Rattus norvegicus: one gene and its partner. The protein of the gene in region 2 interacts with the protein of the main gene of each other region in a pairwise test. Links are inferred from orthologs where the notes say so. Each region holds a gene or a part of one and is shown on either strand. Other genes may lie near its edges.

Region 1 (3,826 bases), on a different chromosome or scaffold from region 2:
TTTGAAATATATGATATATACATCCTATTGTACAAGTATAACACCAAAACATACTTCTCATATATAATAATATATATATAATTCTGTACCTAATGACCAATCTTCCCTTACTTCTATACTCTTCTCAACCTTTAACAATTACAATCTTAGTCTGAATTTCTATGAGATAAGAAGCATGTTTTCACATATCACAAGTAAGTTGAGAGACAGAGTCTTTCTGTACCTGGCTTATTTTATCAAAAACTATGTATGTTCTTTATATTCATTTACAAAGGACAGGATTTTGTCTTTTATGTAGGTGAATAGTATTCCACTGTGTATATATACTCATATTTATTATTATCCATTATGGTTGGGGAGCTCTAATATATACAATTTACCTTTAAAGCCATCAAAAACAAGGTAGGTTAATTTCTAGTCAGAAGGATAAAAGGAACAATGAGCAAATATGTGATAAAACAATGTAGTTGAATATTAAACAACACAATCTTCCTGGCAATTATTAATTTTTTTAAAAAAATTAGCACTGTTTATCTGAGTCTTTTCACAGTAAACTGCTAGAAAATAGAAAACCTGCATTCTTTGATGGATGACTACTACTTGGGCACAAAAGGTTGACAGAATAAAGGACTCAGGATTTAGATATTAGGTTAATTAGGTAGAAACAACAATAATACTTACAAAATATGAAACCAAGAAGAGGAATAAATGTTTGTATTGACTGGTGAAAGACAAGAGGGAAAAGATGAGGAATTTCATTAGAGACCTTTAAGTTTGAAAGTTAAAAAGCTAAGTGAAAATGCCTAGTAAGTCACCAAAATTTCCAAGTAATGCTAAGTAGATTTAGAATAGACTAAGAAGACATACTATATGGAAAAAGATCAAAACAACAGACCTGGAGAAAATCTAGGTGACTAGTTCAGCTGCTGGAAAGAACTCGGAAAAAAAAAGCACAGATCAGAAAAAAATCAGGAAAAGCAAGAAAACTATAATAAGCAAGCTGCTAATGACTTACAATTCTCTTCGAGTAATACAGCTAAACTCGGGCAACAAAAAACTTCCAATGGAAAAAAATCACTGCTGATTGTTTAAGAAAGTAAGAATACAAGGTTTATCTCCAAAGCAGATCAGATGAATAGAAGCTTTCTCTATTTCCTCCAAATTCAGTTGGTATACCAACCAAGTATTAAAAAGGTTAACAATTTCATACACTTCAGGAACGACACAGAAGAAAATGTTTAATATTAAATCCCAATTTAAAATAAAATACTTGAGAAAAAAACAAAGCTACTCATTTGTAAATTTCTTTCGGGAAAGACATGTAGCTACAAAAGAGGAGCAGAGGAAGAGTCATGACTCGATCCAACTATCTACTAGTCATCTATGCAGAAGATACTTGCAGTTGCTCCCTTTGTTAGTCACCTTGAATTATATCCTCAAATTACTCTCATTTGGTTCTGTACCCATCAACCACGTGGAAGCCATCTCAAGTCTAAATAACCCGGATCAAATCTCAAAATAAACTACCTTGGGGGAGATCACTTCCACTTGGATCATAGGAATAAGGCGGCGGCGGTGGTGGAAGAGGAAACCCTGAAGCATCTCCTGCTTCAAGAGGAGTGGCAGGAGGAGGAGGCAATGGAGGTGGCAGTGGTAGTGGTGCTGCCACCGGTGTTGCCACTGGTGGTGCTGCTGCTGCTGAAGGCTGAAGATAGGCTAGAGCAATAAAAATAGGAAAATTATTAGGGATAGGATGGCAATAATTAACAAAGAAATAAAACAAGAAATAGCAATGCACAGCTATTGTCCCTTATAAGTAGTAGCTGACCTGCTTTTTTTTTCATCCCCAGTATAATCACAGAACACTGAATTCTCATGGATTGACTTAAAAACAAACACTTGGAGGGAGGTTGGTTACCCAGTGCAAATTCAAAGATGTTTCCAGCAACCTATCACTCTGGGTCAAATCATTAAGACAGAAGTCAAGAAACAAAATTGAACACAATAGAGATTTTAACAACCTTACACATTCTCCTGGCACCTTCGGGAGAACATAAGCAATTTTAAATCATGAATTTCCAGTTTTAAGGAGACACAAAATCTAAAAAATGGGCTAAATACAATATTTTATCCCTGTAATGTCCTATATTCATTACTAACTTTATTTAAAATTATACATCTAGGAGTTTCAGTTTTAATACAAAGTTAAAATGTATTTGTTTGCATATTAAACCCCTAGGATAATAAACTGTTTCCAACCTAGTAAAAATAGCTATATTCATGTAATATATTACTTAAAATGTGATATTTTGACAGATGTTAAATAACACAACCCTTGGAATTTAACTAGAAAATTTTAGTCAATTTTTAAAATGATGTACTAAACTATAAAGTTGTGCTATCTACATGATAATTTTAACACTAAAAGCCATAAACAGTTTCATCTCATTATTCAATATAGCATTAAATTCAGAGCTCTAACACAGAGTTGAGCTTACAAACCACAAGCTGAATTTGTTACTCTGGAAATTTAGCCAGAACAAATATACTTTGCCTTCATTCACAAGCAACACTAATAGTACAACTACATGCTAATAGTAATAGGACATATATCTACAGATGACACCAAAGCAAAAATAAATTCATAAACAGCTTTTCTTTTTGGGGGATGGGAGGGATAAAGAAGCAATCCTCTCTTGATTTAATGTTGCTTACATAAGAGCACACTTGAGAAAAGTGCACAGAACTGGACAAGAGAAGGTGAAATTTATTAAAGCTAAACTACATAAAAAACTTTAACAACTTACATAACTCCTTTGGAGTTGTTTTATATATTAGAAATGTGTGTTTTTATAGTTTTAGCAAAGTCATTTAATTATCACAGTAACTACTAATGCTTGAATGTTTCTGTAAGCATGGCTTTTCCAAAAAAGTTATTTTCCATATCTCTTTTAAACTAATACTCAAAATAAATCATACTAGGTTTTTGGATGTGGAAGAACAAGACTAGCTGCCTAGCTAGGCAAGGCAGAAGGATCTCAAATTCAAGGCCTGCCTGAGCTACAGAGTAAGCTCAGGACCAGCCTAGGCAATATAGTGAGACTTTACTGTAGACTTAAATGTGGAAAGACAGCTAGGGATGGCTTAGGACTAAGTGCTTGAGTAGCACGCACAAGGCCCAAGGTTTAATGGACAGTGCCAAGAAAATGAAATCAGATCAGTTAGCCAGAAACAAATATGAATATGCTCACTAGGTAAAAGCCAACTACTAGACCTAGAGGTAACAAAATAGTCACAAACCCAAGAGAATCAAATTTAAAGAAATTAGAGTGCTATTCTCCTCTAATTGGCATTCCTTATAAATGCGTACTACAATAAACACTTTTTTTTTCCTCTAGTATACAGCCATGGCTAACCTGAAACTAACCTGAAATTCAAGATGGGTAATGTATGTATATATGTGTGTGGGTGTGTGTGGGTGTGTGTGTGGGTGTCTGTGTCTGTGTCTGTGTGTGTGTCTGTGTCTTTCTGAGAGGGGACAGAGAACAACTATCAGTAGTTCGTTCTCTTCTCCCAACTCAGACCACCATGCTTGGTAGAAAACACCTTTACTTAGCCACTGAGCAATCTTAAGAGTCACAGGGTTAAGTATTGTAATGATTCAATCTATCTGAAGTATGAATATCCTTTACTTAGCTGTGATTTCAATTCTTTAAGCTCAGACCTCTGCTGAAAGCAAACAAGCAATGCTTTGCCATATTTAGTGGCAAAGTAGTCAAGCCAGGGTCCCAAAATGACATTTCTAATGAAAGAGTCCCCTCATAAT
Region 2 (3,826 bases):
CTTTCCACTATTTGAAATTCAGGAAATAGAGGCGCTTTCTTTCCTTCCCAGGAGGCTGCTTACCTGTGAAGCAGGATACCCCGGCACCTGACCCCGCAGAGGAGGCGCTTCTGTCGGACAGTCCTGCTGGGGATACATCCAACGCGACACTGGAGTCGGGCTGTTACCAGGTGAACGGTAGGTGCTAGGAATGTCCGTGGAGTAAGTGCCTTGAGCATAGCCAGGTACGTAGTAAGCCCCAGAGTAAGAGGCAGCACTTGCTGTTGCAGGGCCAGGAGGGTAAGGTGGGCCATATGCTCCATTTGCGTAAGAATTCAGACTCTGAAAAAAGGTAATCAGAGAGGAAAAGATAATGGGCTGAAGGGCTAAAATGCCCTTAATGTTCAACCTTGAAAACTTTAGGAAGTAAAGGTGTCAGTAAGCAGTCTCTGAGGTGCTCTTTCTCTTCTCTAGTCTCTATATCACACGCCAGGCACTGAACTCAGATTATAAACTGAAGTTATGGGACATCGATGGAAGCCTATATTGTGATGACAGATAACATTTTCTTACATTTAACTCACAACTACATGTCTAAGAGGAGAACGTTTGCTCACAGAAGGCAACTCTAGGAATCCTGGGGAACAAGGTAGAGGGGGAAAAAATCATATAATAGAAAGAAAAAAATCAGAAACATTCTCTAATAGTTTATATTTAGTTACTCTTAGCTTCAGTTTCTCTAATAGGAAAATGAAGGCCAAAACTTTCCTTGCAGGATTATTAGGAAAAACTGAGATAACAAAACAACAACAAAAAAAGATTTAGCAGATACACAATTTGTTCAAAAGATGGTGACTACATTACTATAAGTATCACGATGAGTTCGAGAAATGACCCCAGTCATATTGAACTAAGCAATCACCCTGCTTTCCTGATGACAACAACAGATAACAGGGAAATTCTTCACTATACTGTTTACTACTGTGGTTATTATAGTTTGGTTATTGTTTTAAACAGTGCTGGGAACTAAACCCAGGGCCTTGTGTGTGTCAGACAGGTGTGCCACCTCCAAGATACAATGCCAATCTGTTTTCCTGTGGTCTTAAATCACCTACACAGACTATTACATTGCTCATATCCAGATCCTGCTTAGTGCTCCAAATAAGATTAAAGCTAAGCCTTAACTTCAACTATTACCTTATGTTTTGTATTATTTGTTTGCCCCCCCACCTCTGTGTGTGTGTGTGTGTGTGTGTGTGTGTGTGTGTGTGAGAGAGAGAGAGAGAGAGAGAGAGAGAGAGAGAGAGAGAGAATGTGCATGATATGGAGGATGCATGTGTCACAGCATGCTTGTGGAGGTCAGAGGACAACCTAGATAGTGAGACCTTGTCTTTCAACTTGCCTTTAAATTTGTTTGACACAGGGCCTCTTATTTACTGTTTTAAATCCCAGGCAGGCTAGAGAATACAGACACATGGGCTACTGCATTCGGTCTTTATGCGGTTCTGGGAATCCAAACTGAGATCATCACGTTTGCATGGAAGGCATTTTGTCCACTAAACTATCTCCCTAGTTTCACTTTAGTTTTTTTAAAATAGGAGACACACAGAATCATGTTTTCTTGTAAATGTTACTCCCAGCAGGATGTACCAGGAAGAATTTCAAGTTTGTAGCTAGTCGTCTACATAGTGTGACATTATTCGAGGGAAGGGAGGAGCCCTAATTGTGTGTACACACTTGTAATCCCCAGTACTAAGGAAGATGAGGCAGGAGGACTACAAGGTAGAAGACCTTGGCCTACATTAGTAGAACCTGGTTTAGAAACAAATTAAAACCAGAGAAACAAAATATACCTGAAGAAGTGTGTGTGTGGTCAGAAACAATAAAAGATTAAAGAGCCAAGTAATGTATTCCTCATAAGCCCTTGAGGTTTTCAGTCTGAAAGAAGAACTCTTTAATAGAATATAAAGGCCAAGATTTGATACAGTATCATGTGACTTTTTGGTCTGTACTCCAGCTTCCCAAGGAAATCACTCCACTATAAAAAAAGTCACAGGTTAGAGAGATGGCTCAGGGGTTAAGAGCACCAACTGCTCTTCCAGGGGTCCTGAGTTCGACTCCCAGCAACCACATGGTGGCTCACAACCACCTGTAACAGGATCTGATGCCCTCTTTTAGTTGTGTCTGGAGATAGATACAATATGCTCATATAATTAAAATAAATAAGTCTTAAAAAGTCACAGGCACAAAGCTGTCAAGTATAATATTTGTAATTAGACAAAATAGTACAGGGACAGAGAGATGTCTCAACAGTTAAGGGCACTTGGTTGCTCTTCCAGAGGACCCAGGTTACAACCATTAGTAATTCTACTTCTGGAATTCTGATGCCCTTCTAGTCTCTACAGGCACTGCATACGTGTGTGTGTGTGTGTGTGTGTGTGTATACATATATATATATATATATGCGCGCAGGTAAAACACAAACAAACACACGCATACATATATACATACAAATATAAAAATAACACTTTAAAAATAAGTTACACAAAATATTATAGAATCTAAATGCTTTAGGACTATTCTATTTTTATTTTTAGAAAAAAATTTAATTTACTTATTTTTATTACACATGCATTGATGCTTTGCCTGCATGTGTGTCTGTGTGAAGATGTTGGGTCCCCTGAACTGGAGTTACAGACAGTTGTAAGCTACCATGTGGGTGCTGGGAACTGAACCCAGGTTCTCTGGAAGAGCAGCCAGTCCTCTTAACTACTGAGCCATCTCACCAACCCTGAGAGCTCACGCTGTAAACTACAAGCACAAATTAAAAAAACAAGCTGGGAGTGGCTCAAGTCTTTATTAAAGCCTATCAGCCTACCCCCAACCCTCCACTCCCACCCATGACATACTTCCTTAAACAAGACATACTTTAACAAACATACTTTCTTAAATGTCCCAAAAGTACCACCAACTGGGAACCAATGGTTCAAATGTCAGAGTCTACTGGGGACAGTCTCATTTAAACTACCACAAAATGGAAGGATTTTTTGTTTTGTTGTTTTTAAATAAACACACATTTATTTACAAGCAACAAAACTACACTATTTGGTATTTGTTTCAAAACACTCCCAAGATAAATATAATATGGTCAAGTACTGAGACTTGTTGAAGCTGAGAGGAACATTTGTTTCTACCTTTGTTTGAAATTTTCCTTATTATAAAAGGAAATGAAGAAGAAGCTGGATGGTTGATCACAGACCCTAATTCAAAAGGCCAAGAGCTACGGGGGTGAGAACAAAGAAGTTCTTGTCATTGAGTCTGTAAACTGCATGTGACAGGCAAACACAGAAGTGTGCAATGGGGCAGTGGAGATAGCTTAATGGGTAAAAGTGCTTGTTTTGCAAGCCTAATGGCATGACGTGAGGCTTATCCCTTGATCCAGGGAAAAGAACTTCTAAAAAGCTCTCTTCTGACTTCCACAAGTGCACCATGGCACACTTTGGCCACCACAGCACACACTCATACACAAACAGAATACCAAAGCTGAATTTAATCATTAAAAGGTGTATAATGGCTTCAGGTGTAAACAGACAATGGAGGAAAGGCTTAAGCCGCATTTCACAGACACAGTCACATTAGGACGGCACAAGCAAAGTTATTTTCATTCTTTCCTTGTTTTTCAGTTTTATATGTCTGTCTATATGAAAGGGGGCTTCTTAAGTTCTCTGTGAAGCTTCTGCTAGTGCTGAACTTGTGATTCTCCTTAGCTCTGCCTCTTTTTTCTTTTCTTTTTCTTTTTTTGGTTTTACTAAACAGGGTTTTTCTGTGTGGCCCTGACTGTCCTGGA

What was found.
Region 1: the proteins of Bag4 (region 2) and Alg13 interact in binary tests that used the Homo sapiens proteins (3 or more experiments, as listed by UniProt). The link is inferred for Rattus norvegicus from reciprocal best matches to the Homo sapiens genes BAG4 and ALG13.

The regions. Positions count from the first base shown.
Region 1 is NC_086039.1:112,727,009-112,730,834, reverse strand, and holds part of Alg13 (putative bifunctional UDP-N-acetylglucosamine transferase and deubiquitinase ALG13), read right to left. Parts: intron 1,717-3,826; coding exon 1,528-1,716; intron 722-1,527; coding exon 682-721; intron 1-681. UniProt on the Homo sapiens protein: Catalytic subunit of the UDP-N-acetylglucosamine transferase complex that operates in the biosynthetic pathway of dolichol-linked oligosaccharides, the glycan precursors employed in protein asparagine (N)-glycosylation.
Region 2 is NC_086034.1:73,001,271-73,005,096, reverse strand, and holds part of Bag4 (BAG family molecular chaperone regulator 4), read right to left. Parts: exon of another isoform or gene 322-3,826; coding exon 64-321; exon of another isoform or gene 52-63; intron 1-51. UniProt on the Homo sapiens protein: Inhibits the chaperone activity of HSP70/HSC70 by promoting substrate release. Prevents constitutive TNFRSF1A signaling. Negative regulator of PRKN translocation to damaged mitochondria.